2 linked regions of the Elephas maximus indicus genome follow. The protein of the gene in region 1 purifies or fractionates together with the protein of each later gene. This does not show direct contact. Links are inferred from orthologs where the notes say so. Each region holds a gene or a part of one and is shown on either strand. Other genes may lie near its edges.

What was found. Proteins that work in one complex are often made in the same cells at the same time.
Region 2: the proteins of HDAC1 (region 1) and CCT2 purify together in Homo sapiens (affinity purification with mass spectrometry; 4 studies listed by BioGRID and IntAct, counting the BioPlex papers as one, with this or other methods). This does not show direct contact. The link is inferred for Elephas maximus indicus from reciprocal best matches to the Homo sapiens genes HDAC1 and CCT2.

The regions. Positions count from the first base shown.
Region 1 is NC_064821.1:73,172,653-73,179,940, forward strand, and holds the start of HDAC1 (histone deacetylase 1), read left to right. Parts: upstream 1-4,032; 5' UTR 4,033-4,114; coding exon 4,115-4,163; intron 4,164-7,288. UniProt on the Homo sapiens protein: Histone deacetylase that catalyzes the deacetylation of lysine residues on the N-terminal part of the core histones (H2A, H2B, H3 and H4).
Region 2 is NC_064822.1:130,767,987-130,775,305, forward strand, and holds the start of CCT2 (T-complex protein 1 subunit beta), read left to right. Parts: upstream 1-4,059; 5' UTR 4,060-4,162; coding exon 4,163-4,165; intron 4,166-4,912; coding exon 4,913-4,987; intron 4,988-5,081; coding exon 5,082-5,147; intron 5,148-5,883; coding exon 5,884-5,995; intron 5,996-6,349; coding exon 6,350-6,426; intron 6,427-6,549; coding exon 6,550-6,662; intron 6,663-7,319. UniProt on the Homo sapiens protein: Component of the chaperonin-containing T-complex (TRiC), a molecular chaperone complex that assists the folding of actin, tubulin and other proteins upon ATP hydrolysis.

The DNA of each region.
Region 1 (7,288 bases):
GGTGTCCCTTTCTGGGCTGTCCTACTTTCTGAGACCACAAGAGAAAGGACAGAGGCCCGTGACTGACACCAGCTTCTGGCCCCACTCCCTCTTCTTTCCCCTGGTGAGCAAGAACTCCTAGAGGGCTGGGACCTTGTCTGATACCTCTCTATGCTCCTCCTTGGTGCCTAGCACACATCAGGAGCTCAATAAATGTCTGTTTGTTGATGAATGTGGTACATGTCTCTGTTCCCCACTCCCATCTCCTCGTCCTTGGGGTGTGGAGTGGGGATTCAGAAGAGGGAAACTGGATCACCCTGAATTGGTTACACCCTGAGGGAACATCTGAACTTTTTTCCAGTCCTGGTGATGCTGGGGGCCAAGGGGACGTGCCTACACTTTGCTGTATGGGCTCTCCCAATCCCTTCAAATGGAACAGTACACCTCACCTCTACCCCCATGGATTCAGTTCAATCCCCACCTGGAATTGCCTCCAGTGCGTCATTGGATCCCCTCCCTCCCACTGTATAAGGGCAATTGCATTTTTTTACAGCCAGTAATTCAAGGGCTGCATCTGGCCTTGAATATGTTTTGATTTACCTTCAGGATGTTTTTAAAAATTGAATTAGTTAATTTATTTAACAAATATGTATTAACCGTCTACTGTTCTAGGCTCATAGGATATACAGTTGATAAAACTCACACGCAAATCTCTGCCTTTGTGAACTTACATTCTAGTAAGGGAAGACAGACAATAAACAATAAACATCATAAATAAATTATATCATATGCTACAAGGTGCTAGGGGAAAAACAGAGCAGAGCAAAGGGGATTAGGAATGCCATGTTTGGGGAAAAGTTTGCCATTTTAAAGAAGGTGGTCAGGGAAGGCCTCATTGAGAAGATGACATTTGAGCAAAGATTTGAAGGAGCTGAGGGAATAGTCTGAGGCAGGAGTTTGCCTGGCATGTTCAGAGCGGTAATGGTGGCCAGAGAGAGGGAATTAAATCCTAGGACCTCGGCCTTGTGCCCTTTGCAGGAGCCATTTTGAGAAGCCTTTGCAAAGATTTGTGCAGAGCTATGATATGATCTGACTTACATTTTAAAAAGGAGCCCTAGTGGTACAACGGTTAAAAGTGGGGCTGCTAGCCAAACGGTTGGTGGTTTCAACCCAAACACCTATTCTCTGGGAGAAAGTCCTGGCGATCTGCTTCCCTTAAGATTACAGCCTAGAAAACCCTATGGGGCAGTTCTACTCTGTTACATGGGGTCACTATGAGTCGGAATCTTGACTCAACAGCAACATCACATTTTAAAAGGATGTCTCTTACCACTGTATTGAGAACTGACTGCATTAACAGCCAATGTATAAAACTGGGGAGGTTTTGAATAAAACTTCAGATTTCTGCTTTCTTTTGAAAGATAGGAAGAGTTGACCGTTTTGGGCCCTCATGGAGCTAAGTAGCGGCTGCCCCGTTTAAGTGGGGTATGAGCTCTCCCTCCCTTTTGCTCTGAGACAATGAAATTGAGTGTTAATAAGTGTTTAACATCATTGTTCTTATAATAAACAGGAAAACTAATTTTTTTTGGTATCCACATCTCCATTAAAAAGTGAGAAAATTAAAGATACCCCAAGATGGCAGTGTGTTTAAAGAAAGGTAGGAGAAAGGCATATTTCTTTACAAAAATGAAAAATGGCCCAATTTTTAAAACATGCAAACAAAGAGCATCTCAGTAAAAAAAACATAAATTTCACTCATTTACATCACCTACCTGATCTCTGGTGGTACAAGGGTTAAGCACTCAGCTGCTAAGGTTGGGGGTTCGAATCCACCCAGCTGCTGTGCTGTAGAAAGACCTGGCAATCTGCTCCTGTAAACATTGCACTCTAGAAAACCCTAAGGTGCAGTTCTACTCTGTCACATGGGGTTGCTACGAGTAGAAATCAACTCAATGGCACCAAACAACAACATTTGAGCTCTGTAGACATCTGAGTTTGTGACCCCTGTTTATAAAGTGCTGCCACACCCATAATCTCATCTGATTCCCACCCTCCTCCTGTTTTGGACACTGTGTACCGCCACAGAGTTGGTGAACTTTGTATTCTTATCCTCCCCATTTTTCAACAGGAAAATGGAGGTCCAGTAAGGTTAAGTAAACCCACCCAAGAACAGCTAAGAAGTAGCAACGCAGACCCCGGAATAGAGTTTGTTCCCTAGTTCATTGTTATTTTTATAATAGAATGAAAGGTCCAGTCTTAGATCGCCTGTAACCTTTATAATTAATGGTTCAAACGCAGTTCCTAAGTGAGAACACATGTCCCCAAACACTCCTTGATCTGTAAAGAGGCATAAAAATGTATCCTATTGACTGTAATACTAAGGGTAAGCTACCTACTTAGTATAATGCTTGGTACATAGTAAGCGCTCATTAAATATTAATGTTGTTGTAGTCGTTATCTTCATAGCTCAGCACAGTGCTTTTCACTCTTTCAGTTTCAACAATGGCCAGTTGATGATGAATTGATCTAGTGCAGTCCTTCTCAAGGGGAGTATGGTGGGTGGTTTGAGCTTTCCCTGCCCCAGGGACATTTGGCAATGTCTGCAGACATTTTTAGTTGTCCTAACCGGGGGGTGGAGGATGTTACTGGCATCTAATGGGTAGAGGGCAGGGATGCTGCTAAATGTCCTACAATGCAATGCACAGGACAGCCCCCCAAAACTAAGAATTACCTGGCCCCAATACCTCCAAGGTTGAGAAACTCTAATCTAGGGAACAGGGCAATACAGGTTACTCCTGCCTAAAGCCAAAAAAACATTAGGGAGCCCTGGTGGCATAGTGGTTAAGAGCTCAGCTGTTAACCAGAACGTCAGCAGTTTGACTCCACCAGCCGCTCCTTGGAAACCCTACGGGGCAGTTCTACTCTGTCCTGTATGGTCGCTATGAGTCCGAACTGACTGAATGGCACCTAACAACAACAACAACAAAACCAAAAAAACAAACTAGTAGCCCTCAAGTGGATTCTGCTCCAGGGTGACCCCATGTGAAGATACTCCTTAATCCTCCCGGGCGATGCACCAGCGAGGTTTCTGCCGCTTTGTTACAAAGCCTCTGGCATACAGTGGGTAGTCAAAAATTCTGTAAAAGTGAAAATTAAATTTAACAATTAATCATGTGACTCAGCAGTTCACAGAGGTCTGAACTTCATTATCTTTATCTGTAAAATGGGGATGAAAAGCCCGCTTCCAAAACTATTATGAGGAATAACTGAGAAGAGTGTGGTAAAGCTATTGCACAGTACTTGGTCTCCAGCAAGCCCTTGACAGTTTGTCATTTTATTTCTCTCTCCTCTAAACTTGCGTCCTAATTCAGGTGCAGCCCCTTCCTTAGTAGGTGACCTTAGGCAAATCACTTTTCCTCTGTGTTGTTGTTAGGTGTCATAGAGTTGGTTCCAGCTCATAGCGACAGAAGGAAACACTGCCCGGTCCTGCGCTAACCTCACACTCCCTAACTTCACACTCGTTCTGTTTGAGCCCATTGTTGCAGTCACTGTGTCAATCCATCTCATTGAGGGTCTTCCTCTTTTTCTTGACCCTTTACTTTACCAAGCACGACGTCCTTCTCCAGGGACTGGGCCCTCCTGATAACATGTCCAAAGTACGTGAGACAAGTCTAGCCATCCTCGCTTCTAAGGAGCATTCTGGCTGTACTTCTTCTTTCCTCTATAGGCCTCATTTTATTCTCTGTAAAATTACAAAATTGGCCTCTGATCTCCAAGCACTCTTCCAACGACGAAATGGGACAGCGAAGTTTACAGATCTGTTTTCCTCCCCCGGGACTAATGGTACGGTCCCCGGGCAGTTTCCCCCACCCCCTGTCGCGACCTTGGTACAGGCCCAGGGGGCCCTCGGCTGCCTCTCAGGGCTGCCCTTGCCCCCTGCCGAGTTCCGGGCCCGTCCCTGCTCAAGCTGATTGGCTGGAGAGGTGCCCGGGCTGCGCGGCTATAGGTGAGCCCGGGAGGGGACGGGCGGAGCGGGCTGGAGGCCCGCCCTCTCCCCCCTGGGTCGGACGCTGCGCGGAGCCGCGGGCGGGAGGGCAGACGGACCGACTGACGGGAGGGACGGGAGGCGAGCAAGATGGCGCAGACTCAGGGCACCAAGAGGAAAGTCTGTTACTACTACGACGGTGAGCACTGTCCTCGCGGCGGGGGCGGGGCCTGGGCCGGGCCGAACCCGGGAGAAGGAGGCTTAGGTCGAGGAGCTCTGAGAGAAGGCTGAGGCGTTGAGGAGAGGCTGAGTGAGGAGGTTGAGACGAATGAGGTCGCGACTGAGGGAGGAGGCTGAAGGAGCCAGGAAAAGGTGGAGGCTGAGAGAGGAGGCAGATAAAGGAAGGAGGATGAGGCTGAGGAGAAGAGGAGGTCGAGGCTGAAGGAGGAGACTGAGAGGAAGGCGGGTAAAACTGAGGGAGGAAGCTGAGAGGGGAAAGGAGGTCGAGGCAGAGGGAGGAGGCTGAGGCCAGAGGGAGTTGTTTGGGCGAGGACTGAGGTAGTCTTGGGAGGATTCTGAAGAAGTCTGATGTAGAGTTTGGGTTTGGGTGGTACTTTTAGAGGGGAGGCTGAGTCTGAGGGGGGAGGTAGTCTGATGGAGAAGGTTGAAAGGACATATATTCCTGCTGAGAATACACAGGTCTTTCCCTGTCCCTTATTCATCCTTTTCAGTGAGAGTCCTGAGAGAATCGCCAACTAGTGGTCACCAGCTTCCTCTCTCCCCAGTCTCTGAACAGGGCTTGCAATTGCTGCTGGGAGTTGGGGCCCCCGGGGTTGGAAGGAGAAGGATGCAACCTGTTAAAACGAACTTTTTCTTTTAACAAAAATGTGTCAATGACTTACTCTCTACTAGGTAGCGTTTAGGTCCTGGCGCCATGGGGATGATCAAGTCACACTTCCCATCTTCAGCTCACAATCTAGAGGGAAGGATAGACAATGACAGAGAATTACTCTCCAGTATTACTGTTGGGATAAAGGAAAACTCAGAGTTGAGCAGAAAAGAGACATCCAACCCAGCCTGGGGAGTCAGGGAAGGAGGTGCTGTCTCAGAACCTGAAGAACAGGAGTTAGCCAAGCACAGGGAAAGCAAAGATTACAGCAAGTTTAGGGTCTAGAGAGGACCCCCCCCCCAAAAAAAAAACCATTGGCATTGAGTTGATTCCAACTCATAGTGACCCTCTAGGACAGAGTAGAACTGCCCCACAGGGTTTCCAAGGCTGTAATCTTTATGGAAGCAGACTGCCACATGTCTCTGCCGTGGAGCAGCTGGTGAGTTTGCACTGCTGACCTTTCAGTTAGCAGCTGAGCACTTCACCACTGTGCCACCAGGACTCCTTAGAGAGAGGACAGCACCTTTGAAAATAACAGATATATGTATATAAGGCTGAGGCATAGAGTTGGGGGCAGAATGTAGAAGGTAGGGAGCAGGAATGGGGGAAGGGTTGCAAGTGAGGAGGCTGGGGGAGTAAATGGGGATCAGATCACGAGGGGCCAGGCATGCTATCCCAAGGAAGTTAGACTTAAATCTGAGGGCATTTGTGAGCGATTGAAGTTTTATTCATTGAAATTCTATCAGATTTATGCCTTAGAAATATCGCTCTGGGGCATAAATTAAATTTATGAATGTAGGGGCTTGGTAGGAGAAAGACCTCGTGAACTGTTTCTGTAAAGATTACAGTCAAGGAAACCCTATGTTCAGCTCTGTCCCATGGGGTCGCTGTGAGTTGAAATTGATTTGATAGCACCTCACAGCAACAACAACAACAACAGGGATGAGGAAGAAAACAAGGATCCCAAATTTCTAGCTTGTGCAACCTGATGGTGGGTGTGGGAGAAGGCCATGTCAGTTGATACTTTTTTTTTTTTAGCAACATCTGTTAAGATACCTGGAGACATCCAAAGAGGGATGTCTAGTAGGCAGTTGACCATTTTAATCTGCAGTTTAGAAGAGAGGGATGATAAGATAGTTTATTTAGTTGTCAGCATACATAGATGGTAATTTTGCTCATGGGAGAGAATGAAGTCACCCAAGAAGTTGTATAGGGTGAAAAGAGGATCCAGGGTGGAATTCAGAGGAAAAGGAATATTTGGGAAGTCTAATGCCCCTCATGCTCTGTACTTCTCTGTCATAGTCCTTGTCACGGTGTACTGAAATTGCCCGTTAACTTGTTCATATTTCTTACGGACAGTAAGCCTTTTAAGGAAAGGGGTTATGCCTTGCCTACCTCTGTATCCCCAACCCCCTAGTTGTGAAGGCTCTCATATAATATATTAAAACAAACAAGCAGCATGTAGCTTATAGTAGGCTTTCAATAAATATTTGTTGCATAAATTAATAAAGACACAGAGGGAGTGACCAGGGAGGTACGTGAACCAGGAAGTGCTGGGTTACAGAAACGAAAGGAGAGAGGGAGTAGTCAGTTGTTGGCAAGAACTGTTTCTGGGCAGGGGCTAGGGCAGAAGCTAGATTGTAGTAAATTGAGGAGTGAATGGATGTGTGAAGAGGAGACATCAAGTTAAATCCTTTTTAAGGATTTTTAAATCCTTTTTAAGGGAGCAAGGAGAGACAGTTGTTGATAAAGGGGAGTTGTAGTGGCTGGGAGTTGAGCGTGTTCAAATTCTAAAACAAGCCAGGCGGTAGGGAGAGGTTTAAGATATAGGAGAGAAAGGCTGGTGGCTAGTGGTGATGGAGGTTCCTGATGAGATCAGGTAAGATGGAAACGGGAGCCTTCAAGAGGAAGTTCCTTTGTGACAAGAGGGTGAGGGGCAAGGAAAAGTTTAAACGTAGGTAAATTTAAAGAGGAGAAGGTAGGGAAAATGTTGAGAGCGTTCTTAGATGAAGAGAATATTCTCTTTCCTGAGAGTGAGGGAGGACAGCTGCTGGAGTAGGAATCTTGAAGAGAGAGATTAGCTGTCGTGAAAGAGGGAGTTAGGGAAATAAATCTAGATCACTGTGCAGTGGTGAGGCCCTCTTGAGGCTGGAGCTATTTCCGTTTGTAGGATTTTATGATCTCAATACTCTTGATTCAAAAGAAGAGAAAGTAGAAAGATTGCAGTCTTTGGAGAAAGGATCAGACTTGTTACTTCTTGAAAAATTGTGAGTTTTGCAGTCAGGGTACTAGCTTGGGACACAGATTTGGCTCTGCCACTCAGAAGCTTTGCAAGTCACTTAATCCATCAGAGCCTTAGGTCACTCTCTTGTAAAACTGAAAGAATAGCAGTTTCTGTTATAATAGTTAAAGGAAAGCTCTTTAAAAGTTTAATA
Region 2 (7,319 bases), on another chromosome or scaffold:
TATAGTCACCATTTATGTTGGTGAAAGAAGGTATTTGCAATGAAGAAGTCATTGGTCTTGCAAAATTCTATCATTCAATCTCTTGTATTGTTTCTATCACCAAGGCCATATTTTCCAACTACTGATCCTTCTTGTTTCCAACTTTCACATTCCAATCGCCAGTAATCATCAATGCATCTTGGTTGCATGTTTGATCAATTTCAGACTGCAGCAGGTGATAAAAATCTTCCATTTCTTCATCTTTGGCCCTAGTGGTTGGTGCTTAAATTTGAATAATAGTCGTATTAACTGGTCTTCTTTGTAGGCGTATGGATGTTATCCTATCACTAACAGCGTTGTACTTCAGGATAGATCTTGAAACGTTCTTTTTGTTGACAAATGCAACACCATTCCTCTTCAAGTTGTTGTTCCCAGCACGGTAGACTATACGATTGTCCAATTCAAAATGGCCAATAACCAGTCCATTTCAGCTCACTAATGCCTAGGATATCGATGTTTATGCATTCCATTTTTGATGATTTTCGATTTTCCTAGATTGATACTTTGTACATTCCAGGTTCCGATTATTAATGGATGTTTGCAGCTGTTTCTTCTCATTTTGAGTCATGCCACATCAGCGAATGAAGGTCTCGAAAGCTTTACTCCATCCACGTCATTAAGGTCAACTCTACTTTGAGGAGGCAGCTCTTCCCCAGTCATCTTTTGAGTGCCTTTCAACCTGGGGGGCTCATCTTCCAGCACTATATCAGACCATGTTCCACAGCTATTCATAAGTTTTTCACTGGCTAATGCTTTTCAGAAGTAGACTGCTGGGTCCTTCTTCCTAGTCTGTCTTAGTCTGGAAGCTCAGCTGAAACCTGTCCTCTATGGGTGACCCTGCTGGTATCTGAACACTGGCGGCATAGCTTCCAGCATCACAGCAATACGCAAACCCCCACAGTACGGCAAACTGACAGACATGTGGGGGATGGATTGAATTATGTCCCCCCAAAATGTGTGTATTAACTTGGTTTGGCCATGATTCCCAGTACTGTGTGGTTGTCCTCCAATTTGTGATTGTAATATTATGTCGAGAGGATTAGGGTGGGAGTGCAACACCACCCTTACTTAGGTCACCTCCCTGATGCAGTGTAAAGGTAGTTTTCCTGGGGTGTGGCCTGCACCACCTTTTATGTCTTGAGAGATAAAAGGAAAGAGAAGCAAGCAGAGAGTTGGGGACCTCATAACACCAAGACGGCAGTGCTGGGAGCAGAGTGCGTCCTTTGGACCCGGGGTCCCTGTGGGCAGAAGCTCCTGGTCTGGGGGAACAGTGATGAGAAGGCAACAGAAAGAGAAAGCCTTCCCCTGGAGCTGACCCGCTGAATTTGGACTTTTAGCTTACTTTACTGTGAAAAAATAAACTTCTCTTTGTTAAAGTCATCCACTTGTGGTATTTCTGTTACAGCAGGACTAGATAACTAAGACACTGTACATAGAAAAAGAGGCAATCGTTCGTACAAAATAAAGACTAACCCAGAACTGAAAACATTCCTGAAGCCCACTTTTCACAAAAAGATTAGACAGGCCTATAAAACAAAAAATAACACACGTGATGAATGTGCTTCTTAGTTCAATCAAATATAGGAGACCAATGGGGAGCTCCTATCCAAAAGCAGGATGAGAAGGCAGGAAGAGACAGGAGCTGGACTAATGGACACAGGAAACCCGGGGTGAAAAGGGGGAGCATGCTGTCACATTGTGGGGATTGCAACCAACTTCATGAAATAATACATGCATACATTTTTGAATGAGTAAAAAAAAAGGGGGGGGAATACAGTGTAGTTTAAAATCAGGAAAGGTGTGCATCAGGGTTGTATCCTTTCACCATACTTATTCAATCTGTATGCTGAAAAAATAATACGAGAAGCTGGACTATATTAAGAAGAACTTGGCATAAGGATTGGAGGGAGATTCATTAACAACCTGTGATGTGCAGATGACACAACCTTGCTTGCTGCAAGCAAAGAGGATTTGAAGCACTTATTGACGAAGATCGAAGACTACCGCCTTCAGTATGGATTGCACCTCAACATAAAGAAAACAAAAATCCTCACAACTGGACCAATAAATAACATCATGATAAATGGAGAAAAGATTGAGGTTGCCAAAAATTTCATTTTACTTGGATCCACAATCAACACCCATGGAAGCAGCAGTCAAGAAATCAAACAACTCATTGCAATGGGCACTGCTGCAAAAGATCTATTTAAAGTGTTAAAAAAGCAAAGATGTCAGTTTAAGGACTAAGGTGTGCCTAACCCAAGCCATGGTATTTTCATTTGCCTCATATGCACGTGGAAGCTGAGCCAACGAATAAGGAAGACCAGGGAATTGATGCCTTTGAATTATGGTGTTGGTGAAGACTATTGAATACACCATGGATTGCCAAAAAAATGAACAAATCCGTCTTGGAAGAAGCAAGGGTGGCAAGAGTACATCTCACATACTTTGGACATGTTATCAGGAGGAAGCAATCCCTGGAGAAAGACATTATGCTTGGTAAAGTAGACGGTAACCGAAAAAGAGGAAGACCCTCAACGAGATGGATTGACACAGTGGCTAAAACAATGGGCTGAAGCATAACAATTGTGAGGATGGCACAGGAATGGGCAGTGCTTCCTTCTGTTGCATATAGGGTCACTATGAGCTGAAACCCACTCGATGGCACCTAACAACAAGAACAACATTATGAAAGCAGTCAAAGACAGTACAGTAATGAATGGGTATGCCTATGTTTCAATAAATGTTTATTTATGAACACTGAAATTTGAATTTCATATAAACTTCATGTGTCATGCCATTTTATTGTTTTTCAACCATTTAAAAAAGTTAAAAAACCATTCTTAGCTCTCAGGTCACACAAAACTAGGCCACAGGCTGGATTTGGTTCCCCCATAGTTTGCCAATCCTTTTTTTTAGTGTAAACTACCCCACTTAGTGTATATCTGAAGGGTAGAACACTTGTAAATTTAATGTTAGCAGTTGTAAAAAATACAGGAGCTTGCTAAGTAATCAGTTAGCCAAAGAAAGAAAAGTGGGTATCAGTGAATGATACAAAACCAATGGACTTTTTTAATACACAAAAAACTGGCTTTAGATGTCCTGGAGGGTGGGAAAGTAGAAAACTGTTTGTAATACCGTGGAATATTCGGCATTGATCTTCATCTCTGCCAAGATGTTTTTGTTGTTGTGTGCCCTCCAGTCGATTCCAACTTACAGCGACCCTATAGGACAGAGTAGAACTGGCCCTTAGGGTTTGCTAGGCTGTAAAGCTTTATGGGCGGACCTACCAGCGGCTCCGTGGGAGAAAAAGACAAAGTCATTATGTAAGAGTGTACTAGTCATCTCCACTAGTGGAAGACACAATAAAAGCAAAATACAAAGCCTATTGAAAAGGAGCGAACAGGCCAAAGATAAACGTTCCCATTAGAGTTCACAAAACCTTGCCCTGCTGTGCAGTCAACGTCCAATCAGAAACAGTTCTAAAATTCAGTAAAAGGAAAGCAAGTCGGCCTCCGTTATGCTCAATAAATAAATGCTTAAAATTAAAAAAGCAATAAAAAATATTTAGGAATATGACGGCAAATAATCTCACACACATGCTAAAAAAACTTAAAGTGTGCTTGCCTCTGGGGAGAGGAAGTGATGAGGCAGGGAAATTATATTTTTTATTACTACTATATATTTTTTTTCATATGACGATTTAAACTGCGTATGTGTTATTTGCAAAATTTTAAAAGTTAAATTTAAGGAAAAGTTTAAAACATGAGCCAGAACTCGGTTGCTATAGCAACCCGGCAGCGCGGCGTCTGTTTTTCAAAGACTTTTTTTTTTTTTTAGTTCTAATCCGCCCAGCCTCAAGCAAAATTTCAGACTCCTCCCTTTCCTCCTCCCTACTGAGCGGGTCCAATATGACAGGCTGCGTTTACCGCCCTCCAGGCTTCTCTCAAAGTGTCAACCCCTCCCTTCCTCCGCAGGCGGTGGCACCAAGCAGGAACGGAGCTCAGGCCGAGGCCCCGCCCCCTGCGATAGAGCGTGTGGCGTCACTTCCGCCTCCCTCTTCACTCCTGGTTACCCGGGCGAGCGGTAAGGGATTAGCGTGTGGGCCGACCTCCTTGGAACCATGGTGAGCCTGCTCCCCCCAGCCCTGGTCCCCCAGCCCGTGCTTTGCCGTGTCCCGCTGTGCGCTGCCGCCCTTCTGCCTTCTCCGTCCCTCCTAGGCCACGGGCTCCCTGTGTCTGCCACGACACCGCCGCACATGGCGACGGCGCTTGCGTGTGGCCTGCCCGAGGCCTGCTGGTGGGAGCCCTTCATGCCAGCCAGGGGGAGGAGTGGGTCTCAAGGCCATTGTCTTACACCAGCTCGTCCTCTCCACGGTCCCAGCACCTCGAAGCCGGGGTCTCACCGGGACCCACCGGCCGCAGAGGAATTTTTAGAGCCCGGGGCCACGAGGCCGACCCCGCCCGCCCTCGGGGAGGAGCCTGGAGCGGGCGGGGAAGGCGCGCCCGAGAGTCGAAGATGGAGGCCGCCGCTTCCCATCGCCTACCTGGCGTCGCCCCGCGGGTGGTCTGTAATCCTGCCTTCTTCATCCATAGTTTAAAATCTTCAGTCTTGCCATACTTATCAAACAATCGCTTCAGTGTGTGGTTTTTATTCCTGGCGCCTACATAGATCTTAAAAGCCGCTTTCCTCGCAATTTACGTAAATCTCCCTTCCACTTAAATATATGACTGCACGGATGATGGAAAGCTTCATTTGAAAAAGTATCCTATAAATTACTTTTCTCTTGAATACTCGAGTATAGCGGAAGGCCTTTAAGTATATATGTTAAAGAGTACATATTCAAAGTATGTATTTTGATTGCCCGTTTTAGGCGTCCCTTTCTCTTGCTCCTGTTAACATCTTCAAGGCTGGAGCTGATGAAGAGAGAGCAGAGACAGCTCGTCTGGTGAGCCTTGTTCTCTCCTTTCTCTTGAGGATGAAATTATAACTTGCACGTTAAAATTGTCTAATTCTGATAATCTGTTTGGTTTTCGATCCAGTCTTCTTTTATCGGTGCCATTGCTATTGGAGACTTGGTAAAGAGCACTTTGGGACCCAAAGGCATGGTAAGAAGAACAACGTATTTGTAGGTTTTAGTATTGTTTTAGAGCTATTAATGGAAATACAGTTAGTAACACTTTTTTTGATGTTTTTTAATCTTTAAAAAGTTTTACACAAGTAATATGTGACTATTCTCCTTACTAAAAATCAGAACAATACTCATAAGTTCCTGTGATTAACACTTACTTTGGTGTTTATCTTCTGGATGTATTTCTGTTCACTTATGTAGATGTATGTATATATATTTACTTAAGTATTTTTTCGTGTAACAGATAATATTTTGTTTTATGCAAATCCAGCCAAACCAAACCTGTTGCTTTCGAGTCAGCTCTGACTCAGAGACCCTATAGGACAGAATAGAACTGCCCCATAGGATTTCCAAGGAGTGGCTGGTGGATTTGACCTTTTGGTTAGCAGCTGAGCTTTTAACCACTGTGCCACCAGGGCTCCTTGTTTTATACAGATAGTATTTATATGTATTTTTTTTATGTAGCTTGTTTCTTAAATTCTTGGCGGTGTAGATAGTTTTTTATAGTTTATTCAACTGTGGCTATATTGATGGACACAACTTTGTTTCCATTGTTTTGATTATTAGGGTGCTGAAACAAACCTCATTGTTCGTGTCTCCCTGTGCTTCTAGTCTTTCTAGGGGCAGATACCAGGGCTTGATTGTGGGGTGTATGAGAGTACTGATTGACCCACTCGTTCTTCAAGATGTGCTTATATCTTATGTTCCTTTAGGATAAGATTCTTTTAAGCAGCGGACGAGACGCCTCCCTTATGGTAACCAATGATGGTGCAACTATTCTAAAAAACATCGGTGTTGACAACCCAGCAGCTAAAGTTTTAGTTGGTGAGTCTGAAGATTTATTTAAGGAGGAGGGAGTGACTTGTAAAAAGCTGTTTTGTTAACATTATGAAATACTTACTTTTTAATAGTCAGTGTTAAGTAATTGTACTTTTAATTAATTTCTGTCTACCACTTTGTAATTGATTATTGTTATTAAAATGCAAGCTTCTGGAGTGCCAAGTGATTATCGATGGTAAAACTTGCATTTCTACCTAAAAGTTCCAGAGAATTTGTCAGGTAGAGAAATCTAGGTATGCAAGGTTTGGATTGGTAGTGGGTATGTTTTGAGAATTAAACTACCTTAAAGTAGTTTAAAAAGCAGAATCAGGTATAAATTGATAACTAATTTTATTCTAGATATGTCAAGGGTTCAAGATGATGAAGTTGGCGATGGAACTACCTCTGTTACTGTTTTAGCAGCAGAATTATTAAGGGTGAGAAAATATCTGAGCAACTCTTACCTCGTTTTATTTTTTGTTTTGTGGTTTTGAATATCAGCAGTAATCAAATCCTTCTTGTAGCTCTTATTGATAATGCTTTTCACTGTTTATTAATAGGAAGCAGAAACTTTAATTGCAAAAAAGATTCACCCACAGACCATCATTGCGGGTTGGAGAGAAGCCACAAAGGCAGCAAGAGAGGCTCTGTTGAGTTCTGCAGTTGATCATGGGTTGGTATACCAAAATGTTACTATTCTACTATTTTAAGAATTCAGCATTCTTTTTGTAACATGTGTAATGCAGGAAATTAGAGAGCATTGAAAAGCATATGAAGACATGACCCTGCTGCCTTTCCATACCCTCAAACAAAAAACCCACATTCTCCGGAGGTAGACTCTTAAGTTAAAGTTTGGGCTTCCAGTCTTGCATATATAATCAAAACAAACAGGCAAACAAAAACGAATAGCATCATTGTGTAGAGGGTTTTTAGCCTCATTTTAACCTAGTTGATTAACAAGTACATTTCTAGGTATCAGTATTTTCTGCAACATTAGTTTTAATAGAATTGGGAATTTGATTATGTTTACTTACCCTGTCTACAGTGGGAGATGTGTGTTTTTGCCAAATTTTAGCTTTATAATGTTGTGATGAATTTGTTACCAAAAAAAATCTTCTAGAGGTATTATTTCTGGGTCCAAAGGTATGTATGTATTTTAAAGTCATTTTTATTTATCAGATAAGCCTTCAGAAAAAATGTTACACTTCCACAAGATGTACAACAGTGTCTGTTTCCCCAGGTTTTGGTATTATTTTGTTTGTTCGTGGGTTTTTCTTTTTGTAACTTGCTGGTTTGGTGGGAAAATGGTATCCTTTAATTTACATTTCTT